Tamandua tetradactyla: one gene and its partner. The protein of the gene in region 2 interacts with the protein of the main gene of each other region in a biochemical or structural test. Links are inferred from orthologs where the notes say so. Each region holds a gene or a part of one and is shown on either strand. Other genes may lie near its edges.

Region 1 (7,740 bases), on a different chromosome or scaffold from region 2:
GCTCGACAGCACCTGGGAATTGTGAGATTTAATAAATTAGCACATATAAACTCTTTGTAAGGTACCTATTAGGTCCTCAAAAAGATGCTGGCTGTTATTACCAATAGAGTTTACCTCATTAACGGTTGTATCCCTAGCCTCAGCCCAGTGGAGGCACCCAGAAGATATCTGTTGGATGGATGGATGGATGGATGGATGGATGGATGGATGGATGGATGAAAAGAACCACCTGGTCAGATAGGCTGGAGCTCAGGAGAGAGGTGGCAAGTTGAGAATCAAGATGGCAAATGAAGCCAGGGTGTGGCTGTGATGGTGCAGGGCAAATAGAGAAAGGGGAGTTATAGAAAATTGAACACCCCCAGCTTTGAGGACATCTCCAACAGCTAGGCTGAGGCCAAAACAGAGGGAGAAGAGCAGCTTGAAGCAAACCGAGACAATACAGGAAACCAAAGAAAAGTCCCCCACCAAATCCCGGTATGGGTATCCTTCAAGATTTAGAAGACACTGCTGCCTCCATGAAACAAGAACAGGAGGTGCTAAAAAAGGAACATTCAGAGACCAAGGAGAAGCAAAATTTCAATAGAAGGGTGGGAAGAAGTGAGTCCAAGAAATCTTCCCGACAATCAGATAAAAAGACACAGAGACAGAAAAGAGGAGAAGAGAGCTAAGAAAATCAGACGATCAGAACAGGAGTTCAATATCTGGAGGATAGGAGTTCTAGAAAGAAAACAGAGGAAATTGCGGGATAGAAATCATCAAAGAGGTAACACGAGAGGCAAAAGCAGGGGCAGGGGGAGTTGGAAGGTGCTCAGATGTCCCTGACTCACTAGAGTAGGCACTGTCTCGGAGGCCAGGGTTGCTGGGCACAGGAGCCGGTGGGATGGCGGCGCTGGGGGCCGGGGCGCTGTCGGGGAGCACCTCCCTGAGGGCGAGGCAAGAGGTAGGTCAGTGAGGGCGGCAGCACCTCGGCCCCCACGTTTCCCCCCTGCCAGCCACTCACAAGTAGCCCTCGTTGTGATAATCCTCCTCATCATCGTCTTCGTCAGCATCCTCACAGGCCAGCTCTAGGGGGAACACAGGGGTCAGCAACTCCAGGTGTGGCCCCAGCCTCCCCACCCCAGCCAGGACTTCCAGGGTCCCAGACGCACCCTCGTTCTCGTAACTCGCCACACTGTTGGCTTCCGAGAGAGAGAAAGAGGGAGAGAGAGAGAGAGTCAGCTCGGGCCAGGCCCAGCCTCTGCTCAGCCCCAGTCCCCAGCCTCCCTCTGCATTTACCACTGTTGGTGTCCTGCTGGGAAGATGACATCTGGTGGGAGCCCCCAGGGGGCTGTGGAGATCTCCTGGGAGCCAAAGGTCAGAGGTCATGCCTGGGAAAGGACTTCAGGGCTCCAAGTGCACGGAGGGTCACAACAGGGAAAGAGCCCCCCAATTCAAGGTGAGAACAGGATTTGGAGGACAGGGGATTGAGGGACTACTCACGGGAAGGACAGCAGGTCTGGCTGGCTCAAGGGTGGGTAGGAAGTGACGGGCAGCCAGGGGGCAAGTGTGTCTGAGGACAGAAAATCAAGCTGAAGGAATGACTCCGAGGCATCTGCCCCTACTCTTGTAGTCCAAGGGCAGACGGACGCTGCTCTCCACGTTTACCCCCAACCCCCTGGGCTCTGGACAGGCCCAAAGACACCCACCTCCCACCCCATCCCCAACTCAAGTCCCGGCCAGAGGCACAGCTCCCGGTGGGTGGCCAGGAAGAAACCTGGACAAAGGCGCACGCTTGCTCACCCGCCAGGGCCCTCTCCCGCCACTCGACGGAGGGAGCCTCCGTGTACTCACGAGTCCGTTTCTCCACAATTCTGCTCGGGCACAAACTGGCAGGAGAGAAACAGCTGAGGAACGGAGCGGTGGGCCCTGGCCCGGCCCAGCCCAGCCCCGGGGTATGGAGGGAGATGCACCGAGCAGGGGCCGAGCAGGAGCACTCACCTATCTGAGGAAGCACTGTCGTAGGAACCTGGGGGAGAGAGGGCTGGTGAGGCAGGAAAAGGGGGTGCTGAGGGGAAAGGCCTCCAGAGTCCAGGACGGCCCTCAGTCTCTGGGTGTGGGACAGAGGTGGGGACAGGATAAAAGAGGGAGTTAGGGGCTGAGAAATGGGGTGAGGCTCCCCGTCTGTGTGTCCGAGCACCCCATCCTCCGCCCCCCGCCCCGGCTCCCCACTCACTTGGCAGCTCACGGCAGTGCAGACACAGAGCCATCAGCAACACGGCCAGGACGGGCAGCAGCAGGAGGCCCAGCACGGTGGGGACCAGGATGGCCGCCTCCATCTGCAGGAGAGACCTGGGGCCAGGCCCGCTTGCACCCCTGCAGGCCCCTCAGGGCAGAGCTGCAGCAGGGTGAGGAGCAGGCCGGGCAGGGGTGCCAAGACCAGTGGGTGCCAGGCCGGGGGGCCGGGGGAGGGGGGCTGCTGTGCCCTCCTTGGGGGTTCCCTGGGTCCCCTCCCCCGCTGGGGCTGTGTGGGGCTCAGCACCAGCTCTGGGCCCCGGGCAGGTTAGGCCAGGGCCCAGACTGAAGGCATAGGCACCAGCCACCCACTGCGTGGTCCCTGCGCCCCAGCCGTACCTGCCCCTTGGCTCAGCACCCGCCTCTCCTTGGCGCCCACCCGCCTGCGGCAGGAAGCTGTGGTGAGCGCCGGGTGAGGGCAGGAAATCATCGGGCTCCTCAGCAGGCTGCACCCGCCCCCTCCCCACCCCCACCCAGCCGGCAGGGAGTGGAGAGGAGGAAGGTTGAGGAGCCACCCCCAGGCCCTTGAGGAGGGTCGGCTGGTCCCCAGGCTGAGGGGCAAGGCCCTTGTGGGCCACCCTGGCCCGGAGGAGACAGCAGGAGAGAGGAGCTGACGCTGGGAATTTGCAGGCACGGAGGGCAGGGCCCAGCCCACCTCCCCCCTGGCCTGCCTGCCCAGAGGGGCGGGCGCGAGGGGGAACCATGTACGTGACTCACCATCACACTGAGCCAGCTCACTCGGACAGCAGTCCACCCTCGGGCTTGCCCACAGCCCCACCGCAGTAACCCCACCGGCCTTCAGGGAGTCCTGACGATGGGGAAGGGGCATCCCCTGTGGTCCAGAGGTCAGAGGTCACTCGCACCCAGAGAAAGAGTCAAGCAGAAACGCAGGGTCTGGCTACAAATTTTATTCCATTACAAATAGCACCAAGCCCCTGGGGCTACCCTAGCAGAGGGAGACCCCTCCCGGAAGCCCCGCCGCCCCCCAGCCCCCTACGCTGCCCGACAAGTCCGGGAGCTGGAGCGGGGCCCAGAGCCCTCCTGGGAGCTGGGCCCAGCCGAAGGTCTGGGCCTGGGCACCTCCTGGCTGGGGACCAGGTACGGCAGGTATGCAGACAGAGGAGCAGCAGCCCTTCAGATGAGCATGCTGGACACTGGGACCCGGGTGCAGCGGCCTCGCTGGGGCACCACGATACGGTCATCTGCAGACCCCGCCTCGCACAGCAGACCTGGGGGTGGGAGGGACAGAGCCAGGGCTGGACGGACAAACACAAAGCCAGAGAGGGGACAAACAAGTGATAGGAAATGGACAAGGCAGCAGTGGGGAGCCCCCAGAGTGTAACACAGAAGGACCTGGAGCTGGACGAGGGAGAGATGTAGACCCAGGGATGCCAAATACACAGACTGGGCAGACAGCTGGACGGACACACAGGCAGTATGGGGAGGTTAGATGGGTAGCTATGGACAGACCGAGGGAAGCCCCAACTGACCCTGCGCATGCAGCTGGGCCTGCCGGCGGTCCCCCTCAATGAAGATGGCAGTGCCCAGGAAGGCCGCGCCGCCCAGCGCCCCAACAAAGGCGCAGAGCATGAGCGAGAACTGCAAGGCCCGGAACTCGGACAGGAAGGAGGGGGGCCAGCTCCGGCGGAGGCGGTCGGAGATCTATGGAGAGAGGATGGTGAGCCAGGAGAGGAGAGGAAGTTCAGCAGAGAGAGAGTCAGAGAGACCTGGAGAGGAACCCAGGACAGGGAGCCCCTGACTCCTGATAAAGAAGGAAAATGGAGGCCATGAAAGGAGGGGAGGTTTGGACCGCCAGGTAAGGTCCACGGCCTCCAGGGGGAGAGCATCCAAGAACGAACTTCCCGGTCTAGCTGAGCCACCCAGGTGAGGCGTGCCTGGCACCGAGGACATGGATACCCAGCTGGGCCAGACCTTCCCCTGGGACCCAGGCTCTGACCACTGGCCGCTGGAAGTACAGGGGCCCCCATCTCCTACCACAAGCCCGGCCAGGGGGCAGCGCTCACCACCCCGATGAGGTAGGGGCTCCCAGCGTCACCCAGCAGATGGGACAGGACAATCTGGAAGGCCTCGGCAGTGGAGCGCCGCGTGGGGATCACCACGTACTGCGGGGTGGGAGAGATGAGGGCTCAGTGGGGATGCTCTCCCGGTGGGGAGCAAGAGGAAGAGGATGAGGACAGGGTCACGGCTCAGCCTAGGCTGCGGTCAGACTGGGGTCACAGGGTAGGGCCAGGATTATAGGCCTACCGCGTGCTGCACTCTGAAATCAGTCTGGGGGTGGGTTGTAAAGAAGGGATGAAGCCAAGCAAAGACCTCCGGACCCCAAGCCCTGCTCCCACCAGCCTTTGGGCTAACCCTGGAGCTGCCCAGCCACTCACCAGCAGAATGTCAGCCACGATGGCCCAGTTCATGGATAGTAGTGTCTCTCCAATAAAGATGAAAATCTGGGGCCAAGGGAGGAGTCATCACAATAAGAGCAAGCACATGGAGGATCTACCATCCCCCTAGGCTCATCTGGTAATTCATTTAATCTTTACAATCCTCCTACTGGGATAGGCTATTATTTGCATTTTACAGATGAGGAAAATGAACACAGAGAGGTTAAGTCACTTGTCCAATATCACACAGCTAGGAAAGGGCAAAGCTGTGATTCAGAACCAGGCACTCTCACTCCAGAGCTGCTCTTACCCGCGATACTGATTGACCCAGTCCTGCTCAGTGTACCTTTCCTCTACCCTGAACCCAGAACCCCACCCCCCGACACCTGCTGGCTACTCACATAGGTGGCCATGATGCTACCACGGGCACAGGCGAGGGCCAGGAACAGGAAGGGTGCGGAGCCCAGGAGGCCGGCGGCACAGACGAGTGGGTCGGCTCGGGCATTGGAGCGGCGGAGGCGGCGGCTGATCTCCACTCCCAAGCCCACACCCAGGACCCCGGTCACACAGGTGATGAGCCCAAAGATAAGGCTAGGGGGTCAGGGGGAGGGCAGGGGGCTCATCCCTCTGCCTGCAAAGACCCCAGCCCTCGCCCCTATGGCCTGGGATGGAAAGTGACCCCTCCCAGCCACCCTCACAGCTCAAGTCTATCCAGGCTCAGGCCCCAACAGCCCAGAGCCCCGAGGGGCACTGAGATGCTGGAAGAGGCCTTATGGAGTTGGGACTCAGTCTCCTTGCCTGGATGTGACTCGTAGGGTCTCTTCATGCCACCCTCCTTCTCCTGCAGACCACCCTCCCTGGCCCCACCTGGGTACCTGTCAGAGGAGGAGCAGGAGTCTCCAGGAAGGCAAGGTGGGGTCTCCCCCAGGACCACACGGGAGCGTAGCAGGAATGCAGGAGCCCAGAGAGCCAAAGAGCCCGTGACAAAGGCCACAGCAGTGAAGCCGAGGGAAGACAGGACAAAACTAGGACTGAACAGGTGGGAGGTAAAAGGTTAGACTCCACCCAAGGGTCTGGAGAGGGGGATCTTTGTTCTCCCCTCCTGGTTTGATTTTGAGAGGAAGGCTGGCCTGGCTCCCTGCACCTAGGCCTGTAATTCAAGCCGCTGCCACAAGGGGCAGTAGTGACCAAATTGCCAACCTTAGGGTTTGAGGGCCAGCAGAAAGGAAAGCCCACGCCCACTCAAATCTCAAACCAGATGTTCAAGGTCCCTCTGGGGCCTTTGGATGTTGGCCCAGGATGGGACTGTACTCACTTTCTGGCCAGAGCCCTCAGATCCGCCCACCACGAGGTGGGGTGCAAGGGTGGCGAGTCTGAGTGGCGCTCCACAGCACCCCGTGGCGGCTCCCGGACTACCAGGAACAGCAGCAGGACAGCCACGATTCCCAGACCTGGGGTCACCTGGGGAAAGAGCGGGCTTCAGGAACCCTTGACCTGACCTTGGGGGAAAGTGGGGATGTTTATATGCAACTGGGGCCCCAAGATCTCAAAGATGCAGATATATGCCTGCTCAACGAAGCTGAGCCTGTAATTTGGAGGGGCTGTCACCCATTTTGCAGACTTTACTTTTGTTCTCTCCTTGGTAATGCCACCCTAATTTTCTCCTGGGAAGCCACCCACCCCTTCTCTCAAGCCACATGATTCAAATAGAGCTGGGCATACAATCAAGTCCTGGCTAATAAAAGACCCCCAACTCTCTGCCTTGGTGATGGGTTCAGTGACAGGTATGTGACCCATGATCATGTAATCAGACAGCAATGTGGGACTATTGATCAAGGTTCCACAGTGCAAAGGTCTCTACATGGGGATGATAAGTTGGGAGGTTTTCCTTGCTTGAGAATAAAATTAACAGAAGAAATTAAAGCTGAGAAAAAGATGATTAAATTTCTGCGACACTGTAGGAGTCCTGGACCCAGCTTTACCTGACACTCACCCTGGGACTTCCCATTATGAGAGCCAATACAGTCCCTTTTATAGGTTTACAGTTCTACATGGGCTTCTGTCACCTACAGCCAAGACCTCTGTCTCGCACATGGCTTCATGAGGGCAGGGAGGTTTTGTACACTCAGCAATGAATGCTGCCTCAAAAAGGAGGTGTCTGAAGACAGGAAAGGGGGATCAGTGAAGAATATTGTTGACTTTTCCCCAGACCATGACCAGACTTACCCTCAGAGCCCAGTGCCAGTCCCCAGCCACATCCTTTACTTTGGAGCCTGCGATGTAGCCCAGGCCACTGGGTGGAGAAGGCAGGAGAGGAAAGAGGACAGCTGCTCAGCCAGGTCCCCAACTTCAGGTCCATGTGCCTCCCCGCCAGGGCCCAGGCCCACTCACCTGCCCACTGGGATGGCAAAGTAGAACACACTGAGCATCCGACTCCGCTGGTCTGCCACGAAGAGGTCGGCGATGAGAGTGGGTGCGATGGTAGAGTAACTGGCCTCCCCAACCCCCACCAGGCCCCGGGTCAGGAGGAGCAGCCAGAAACGCTGGGGAACAAGACATGGGGAAGGTGGCACCCCACCCTGTAACCGGCCTCCCAGCCTACCTTGCCAGCCAGCTCTGGAGAGGTGGCGGGGATGGTAGGAGAAGCCGGAGTTTTAGTAACAGACAACCCTGAGCTTGAATCCTGGCTCCACCATGACTAGCTGTGTCTCTGGAAAATAACTTAACCTCTCTGAGCTCAGTTTTCTCATCTGCAAAAGGAGGGTAGTTTGCTCACAGAGCTCTTGTGAGGGTTGGATAATAAGAGGTCCATTCATCACCTTGCATCCAGTAGGTGTAAAATACATCTTAGTTTCCATCCCATCCCACCCAAGACACCCCACAGTAAATGATCTGAGGCAGGGGGTTGTCCACCAGAGACACCTGAAACTAAGGACAGATTACGATCACCCAAGGAAAGTACATAGTGCCCAGGGCTGAAGATGGAGTTCTGGGGCAGAGAACGGGAACAAAAAGGAGAAACGTCAGAGGACAGAGAAGCAACAGCCAGGCAGACAAGAGGAGAACCGGAGGA
Region 2 (7,248 bases):
GGGGCGGTAGGTACCTTTAGGGGCTCCTCCTGACACCAGGGGCACAGCCATGCCTCGTGGCTCTACCCCACAGCACTGAGTGACCCGAGCCAGTGGATGACGCTGCCTGGACCTCATACGCATGTCGGAGCAGCAAGGGCGCCTGCCCTGGGTGGTCGGGTGGAGTCCGGGAGACGAGGCTCCAAGCACCGAGCCCTGGGTCTCCGCCTCTGCCCAAGCCCCCCAGGGCTCCCCTCCCTGGGGTGAAAGCCTCATGCCCATCACCTCCCTGCCCGGCACCCTCCGCTCCAGCCAGGCGGGCCTCCTTGTGGCACTTGTCAAGCAGCTTGAACGAGTTAGGCCTGGGCCGCCCTCAGGACCTCTGTGCTGCTGTTCGCTCTGCTTGGACACGCTCCCCCTACACTCCCTCACTTCATTCAGGTCTCTGCTTGAATGTCACCTCCTCCAGGGGGACTTCCCTGACCTCCCTCTCTAAAATAGTGCTCCCTTCCCTCTTTATCCTCAACCCAGCCTTATTTTTCTTAAGCAACTGAAACGTGCTGCCTGCCTTGGCCTGCTGATTTCTATCCTTTGCCCCTGCTGGAACACAAGCGCAGTGAGAGTGGGGACTTCTTGTTCCCCTGCCTACACCAGCAAGGCACACAGCAGGTGCCCAGCAGGTGTTTACTGAGTCGACTGTTTAATACAGAAAGTAAAGTCCTGAGCATGGTGGGGGCCTGGAGCCGGGGGCAGTGACCTCAGTGCATGTTCTACCCTGGGCTGGGGGTCCCGAGGCCGGAAGGTATGCAGCCCACAGCAGTGGGCATCTCTGGGGATCCTCAGGGCCCGGGCAGTCTGGCGAGGGATAAAGGGGGCCCCTGAGGACAGAGGGGTGAAGGGTAGACCAGAGGCTTCCACCGTGGACACCGAGCGGGAGGAGAGGCCAGTCCAGAGGAGACTGCGCAGGTGCCCCTCCCTCCGTCCAGACAGCGCCCATCCCCCCCACCCCTTGCCCCCAGGCTGAGTCAGGGACCCCCTGGGCTCCCAGGGCTCTGTCCTCCCATGTCACAGCCCCACACAGCCACATGTGACCACCTGACCATGGAACTCCCCAGCCAGAGCCCACAGCTGCCTCTCCTACTGCAGCCCCTCCTCCCTCCAATAATGTCAGAAGGCCACAGTGTCTGTGTCAGGGACTGTCCTCAGCCATCTAACCTAACTCCACTCAGTGGAGACTCGTCCCATTGCTTAGCAAGGAAAAGCAAGGCTCAGAGAGGTTAACGTCAGGCTCACAAGAGGTACAGTCGGGGTTTGAACTCGGGCCTTTCTGGGCAGCTATGTCCCCCAGTGAAGGTATGAGACTGTGGGAAGCAGAGTCCACGGCTCTGAGAGGGTCCCCGGGGGTGCCACAGCCCCGGGGTCACCACCCTGTGAGTCCAGGCCCAGGCGGCTGCGCTGGTGGCCGGCACCCACATCCAGTCTGCACCCACTAAGTATCTGATGATGGACTCACCAATGCGCCCCTTCGCCCCTGTGCGGCCAGAGCTCTTAGGCTGTGTGCCCGGCCCGTGAAATGAGACGGGAGGAGCTGGGGAGGGAGTGAGGAGGTGGGGATGGGGTCTGATAGAGGCTGGGGGCAGCGTGGGTGCTGGGCAGCCCCCCGGCCTCCACCACGGGATGCTGGCTCCAGGCATCAGCACCGTCCTGGGCGGCGGGAAGGCCCTGTGCTTTGGGGCAAGGTAGGGAGGGGCTGGGTGGCTGCCACCCGGGAGAGTGGGTGTCAGGGGGCCCTGGGGTCCAGACCCGAGACTAGCCTAGAGCTGGAGGTTAGAGCTGCTCAAGGCGATAGGCTCACGGGGCACCTGCTGTCTAGATGGGGGCAGGGTTACCACCCCACCCATTTGCAGAGGCAGCAGAGAGGGGTGAGTGACCTGGTCAGTCACCAGCTGACGAGTGGCAGAGCCTGGGCGGGCAGCAGGCAGCCTGGCCCCAGAGCGGACCCGCAGGCTGCCCCCTGCCCCCGTCACAAGGCGAGGAAAGGGAGAAGCAGCTCTGACTTGGGCAGAAGAGCCTTCGCAGGCCACCCAAGGACACGGCACTCTGGGCGTCCCTGGCCCTGACCTCTCAGCAAAGCTTTATTAGGCACTTAGGGTTCTGCCCGCTGCCTGGGCCAGGGAGAGGGCGACGAAGTCCATCTCCTGCTGCCCACCACACGGACCCTGTTCCTACTAGCTCAGACTCTTTCCTGCCTGGGGTACTTTTCCCAGCTCTCGCCCACGGAGCTGCACACTTGGCAGGTGCACACCTTGTAGGTGCCGTTGCACTTACTCACATGCAAACTGAGGCTCAGAGAGGACAAGCAGCATGCCAAGGATGCACAGCAGTTGAGCAGGACTCGAGCATTCGGCTCCTCCTCTCTGGGTCTGTCTCCAGCCTGCCTCATCTACACGGGTCTCAGCCACCTCACGGAAAGCCTCGGCATTTTATTTTTCAGAGTCACAGGCCCGTTGAGCTGCCCTCAAATTAGCAGGGTCTGGAGGCCAGGGTGCACATTTGCTTTCTCTGGAGGTTTCTCTACGTGGAGCGAGAGGCCTCTGGGTGCCCCGGGCTGCCACTCGGCGGACCCTCTGACCAGAGCTGCTTCCCCCCAGGAGGCCACAAGCAGCACCTGCTTCCTTCCGCCGCCGGACACTGGCCATGGCTCTCAGCCCAGCCGGCTCTCCCGGGTGGCCCCTTCCATGGCCCCAGAGGTACGGCCCAGTGCTGCTGCATCGGGGCTTACCTGGGAGATGTGCAGGTGGATGTCGCAGCCAACAGGTCCCGAGGGAGCGCGGCTTCCCGAGGCCGACAGACAGTGGATCTGGATGAAGACCTGACCCAAAAAGCCACGCTGGGTCTCTCCTGGCCCTGCCCAGCCGCAGAACCCCAGCCTGCTCGCCAGCCCCTTGTACCCAGTCGTGGTGCAAGGAGGTCCCACCCTCCAGGGTTTCTCCCTCGGGGCGGAGAGCCCTGGGCTGGCGGTGATAGCAGGCCAGCGAGGGCCACTCACCTGGACGCGGCCGGCAGAGAAGGCCCAGGCGGGAGGCCTGCTGCGCTCTTGGCAGCGGGTTTCTCTGAAACTCAACGTATTTCCTTGATGCGAAGGCAGGAAAGGGGGCCGCCTTTGAAGTTTACGTCAAAGTCACAAAGTGCTGCGTTCAAGGAAAATCACAGGCCACGTGGGCCAGGGATGGCAGGGGGCGTTTCCGGGGCCCAGCAGGGCCTGCCTGGCCTGGGGGGACGTTGGGCAGCCTTGGGCAGGGGTTAGGTGGAAAGGATGGTGACCCAACAGCAGGCCCCAACCTGGGGGGGACCGCGTGTGCAGAATGGGGGTGGGGGTGACGGGGAGGGGACCCCAGGACACCTGGGAAACCAGGATGCCCCCTCTTTCCTCTCCCAAAGGGAGTGGAAAGGAACAGGGGCCTGGGGCCAGCCTCTTGACGAACCACCCCACAAGGGCGATTGATTTGTCCCACCAGCAAGCTAAAGCTGGATGGAGGAGATCCATTGGGGAGGTGGGGGCCCCAAGCCTCCGGAGCCTCTGCCAAGTGCCCGGCCTCGGGGCGACAGCAGTCCGTCCTGCCCTCGCTGGGCGCCAGGCCGGGGCGGAAGGCAGCGAGCGAGGTCAGCAGGAAGAGTAGGGCTGGACGGTGGGGGCCCAAAGGAGCCCCGACCCAGCCTGGGGATGTCAGGGAGGGCAGGGTTGACCACACAGTGAACACAGGGACAAGGGACAACCCCAGCCAGTCCACCCGCGACCTTCCACACGCTCTCCTGGCCCCTGGCCACCGGCTGCTCTGGCCACCGCCTCTCCCTCACCCTCCCCAGCTCTTGGCCTGGCACCCAGCAGTCTGCCCCTCCCCAGGGTGGCAGCTGTCTCACCTTCTGCCCAGGCAGGCAAACCTCACAGCTGCTCCCTCAGATGGGGCCCTGCAGAAAAAGTCCTAAAGCCACTCCACCCCATGGCCACTTCCTCCCTCCGGTGCCCCCAGAGCCTCTGGGGGACCCACTTACCCACGAGCTCTCTCGGGCACTTGAGTTGAGGATTTCTCCCAGTGGCTTCTCATCCAGGGCTTAGGGACCCTGTGGGGGGCCTGGCCCCAGGGAGTCCCCAGGAACAATCTTGTAGGGTTTCTGGGGGACGGGAGGTGGGGGCTCCTTGGCCTGTGCTCCCTTCTGGGCTCCACCCAGGTCCCCTTTCCCAGGGACCCCCCAGTCTCTACGAACCCCCTGTGATGGTTGGGTTCAGGTGTCAGCTTGGCCAGGTGATGTGCCCAGGTGTCTGGCCAGGCACGCACTTGCCTGATGGTTGCTGTGAGGATATTTCATGCTGGTTGTTAAACCGGAAAGCTGGTGTACTAAGTCGTCAGTCAGTTGATTGCATCTGTGGCTGATCACATCTGTGATCAACTAAGGTGTGTCTCCCACAACGACATAATCCAACAGTTGAAGGCATTTAAGGGAGAAGAGAGACCCTTTCACTACCTCTTCAGCCAGCGAGCCTGTCTTGTGGAGTTCATCCAGACCCTTCATTGGAGCCGCCAGCTTCACAGCCCGCCCTGCGGATTCTGGACTCTTCCATTCCTACGGTTGCGTGAGACGCCTTTATAAATCTCATCTTCACAGATCTCTCCTGCTGGTTCTGTTTCTCTAGAGAACCCTGACGCCCCCACAGGAGTGCGTGGCGGAGGGTGAATGCTGTGATAAGGGGCCTGAGAGGTTAGAATTAGGCCAGGCCAAGGACATGGGTCACTGAAGGCCGCGCCCGTGACCAGGCAGAGAAGGGGGTTGTATGGGACTAGTCTTAAGGATTTGGGGAGGGGTGTTTTCAATAAACGCTGTGCAGAAGGGCCCCAAAATAGGAACGGATAAGCTCTCTGGACTCTGTGTCCATGAAATGTAGACATAAAACTACTGCTTGCCAAAGGCTGTTTCTCATCACCGCCCCCGACTCAGGACGTCTTTTTCTGGACCCCAGGCTGGAATATGTTTCTCCTACATAGGTTCCCCCTAAACCATTTTTGCTGGAAGCCTTCTCTCCCCTCACAGGCATAGTGTAACTCAGTTTCTAGAGAAAGTCTCTTTTCCCCACGCCTGTTACCCCGTCTGTTAAAGAGAGAAGGCTGCTGGGAAGAGAGTCGCAGCCTCAAAATCACAAACCAGCCACAGAGAAATACTAGTGGTCTGTCTGAGCCCGGCCGCCAGTGTTCTAATCATTTCAGCCTGATAACACCTGGAATCATCAAAACAACCCATTACTGGGCCCATTTTCCACATGAGGTCATGGAAGCCAGGAGAGGTTATCTAACAAGCACCAAATGGGGAGATGGGCCCAGAGTCCAAAACGCATGCACTGGGGGACACAGGAGGTGGAAACCCGGCTGCAAAATATTCCGGGGGGCAGTACCCCCGTGGCTCAGTGGCAGAGGTTCTCGCCTGCTGTGCAGAGACCCAAGTTCGATTCCTGGAGCCTGCCCATGCAAAAGAAATATACCAGGCATGGGCTTCTACTCTGGGGGGCTGTAGACCCCCAGAAGGGGCCTCCTGGTCTTCCCTGAAACCTGGCTTAGCAGCCCCAGACCCCTTCCCGCCCAGGTCAGCGTCTGAAAGCACCCGGGGAGCAGGTGCTCAGAGCGTTGGGCCATGGGCCCACGGATCAGGGGAGCTGAGGGCTGCGAGGTAGCAGCCAGGCTGCATTTGGGGATGCATGCAGCCACACACAGAGGGAACTTGAGGAGACTCTGACCAGGCTGTGGGCCCGGGGTCCCGCCCTGGGCTCCGTCTCCTGCCTCTCCAACTGTGCACTCCTACTTCCTGGATTCCTGGGGGATCCAGGAAGCCTTCCTGATCCCCCACCTGGGGAAGATTCGCCAGGCTCTGAGCAGGCCTGCTCGGGCTCTGGAGCCACAGGGCCCCCAGCCTGGGGAGGGCACACCTCGGCACAACGCTCTCCAACAGCTGACAGCTCCCACCACCCGGAGCGTCCTGGCTCCTACCCATAGGGGTACGGAGTGCACCTCAGCCGGGCAGCGCACCTCAGGAAGCCCCCTCCCTACACTGCCGTGCTCACCCCTCGCAGGCGTGGTCCCTGGGCGTGGTGCAACGTTGCGTGAACACGTGTGATGGAGGTGCAGGGCCAATGATCGCTGGGCCGTCTGGTGGTAAGTGTGTCAGTGTGTGGTAAGGAAGCTGCCCGGCAGGTTTGAATGCATGTCTGTGTGAAACTGGATGTGTGCGGCCTGTGTGTCTGTGTCTGCAGGTGTCTGAGGACGAGTCTGTGGGTTTGAACATGTGTGTGCAAGCATCTGGGCAGGTGTCGTATGTCTGTGCAACTGTGTGGGTGTGTAAGTGTGGGGTGTATCTACCATGTGTGTACGTGTCTGCAAGTGTGTGTGCTGTGTGTGATCTGGATTTGTGTGTCTCTAAGCAGGTGTGTATTTGGGTGTGTCTGAGTGTAACGAGCAGGTAAATGCTTTGTCTCAGTGACTCTGTGTCTGGTGTGTGTAGGTCTGATGTGTATGAATTTGTGTGTGTTCGCCCTGGTGTGCATGGAAATGTGGAAATGAGTGTGTGTGTCTGCACATGTAAACCTAGGGGTGTGAGTATGTGTGTTTCTGGGTGTGCTTGTGTGCACGTGGGGGTGAGCATGCACGTCTGTGTAGGTCTAGGGGTTTCTGTGTCTGTGTGCCTCTGTGTGTGTCTCTGAGCATGTGAATGAGTGTGTGTGTTTGTGTCTGGAACGTCAGGCTCAGGTGCCTTTACCCCTTGGAGCCCTGGTCCCCGGCTCTGCAGGCGTGGCTCCTCTCCCACACTGCACATGTCTGGGTGTGGCAGTGGCACCCCCACTCCTGAAGTGCCCTCTGTGCGGTCTCGGCTGTCTGTTTCTACCACCCCTTCCCTCCTGACCCCTGGCCCGGGGCCCGCAGGAGGGAGGAGGCTGCGCCTGGCACTGAGCGAGGGTGGCTGGCACGGGGCTCGGAGCATGGACTCGGGGCCCTGGGCAGGCAAGTTCCCATCTGGCTAGATTCACCCCGCTGTGAGCTGATGGAGTGAGGCAGGATCTGGCTTGTGAGGCTGTGGAGGGTCAGAGACTTGATAAAGTGATAAAGTCCACAGGAAATGCTTGGCGCCCAGTAAGTGCCAGGGAAGCAGCGGCTATGCGAAAAGTAACAGCACACAGGTGAACTCACTGCCCTCCCCTACGTGGGACATGACTCCCAGGGGTGTAAA

What was found.
Region 1: of the proteins of ZAP70 (region 2) and LAT, one has a biochemical effect on the other in vitro, tested with the Homo sapiens proteins (2 studies listed by BioGRID). The link is inferred for Tamandua tetradactyla from reciprocal best matches to the Homo sapiens genes ZAP70 and LAT.

Annotation. Positions count from the first base shown.
Region 1 is NC_135349.1:25,126,151-25,133,890, reverse strand, and holds the start of LAT (linker for activation of T-cells family member 1), read right to left. Parts: upstream 3,085-7,740; 5' UTR 2,992-3,084; coding exon 2,989-2,991; intron 2,655-2,988; coding exon 2,611-2,654; intron 2,329-2,610; coding exon 2,213-2,328; intron 2,087-2,212; coding exon 1,978-2,086; intron 1,866-1,977; coding exon 1,780-1,865; intron 1,550-1,779; coding exon 1,480-1,549; intron 1,341-1,479; coding exon 1,276-1,340; intron 1,179-1,275; coding exon 1,001-1,178; intron 923-1,000; coding exon 828-922; intron 1-827. Other genes in the region: SPNS1 (protein spinster homolog 1), read right to left, coding at 3,406-3,500, 3,762-3,933, 4,296-4,394, 4,668-4,733, 5,069-5,258, 5,543-5,698, 5,983-6,128, 6,894-6,960 and 1 more. UniProt on the Homo sapiens protein: Required for TCR (T-cell antigen receptor)- and pre-TCR-mediated signaling, both in mature T-cells and during their development.
Region 2 is NC_135343.1:3,443,693-3,450,940, reverse strand, and holds the start of ZAP70 (tyrosine-protein kinase ZAP-70), read right to left. Parts: upstream 3,129-7,248; 5' UTR 3,029-3,128; intron 2,852-3,028; 5' UTR 2,762-2,851; intron 1-2,761. UniProt on the Homo sapiens protein: Tyrosine kinase that plays an essential role in regulation of the adaptive immune response. Regulates motility, adhesion and cytokine expression of mature T-cells, as well as thymocyte development.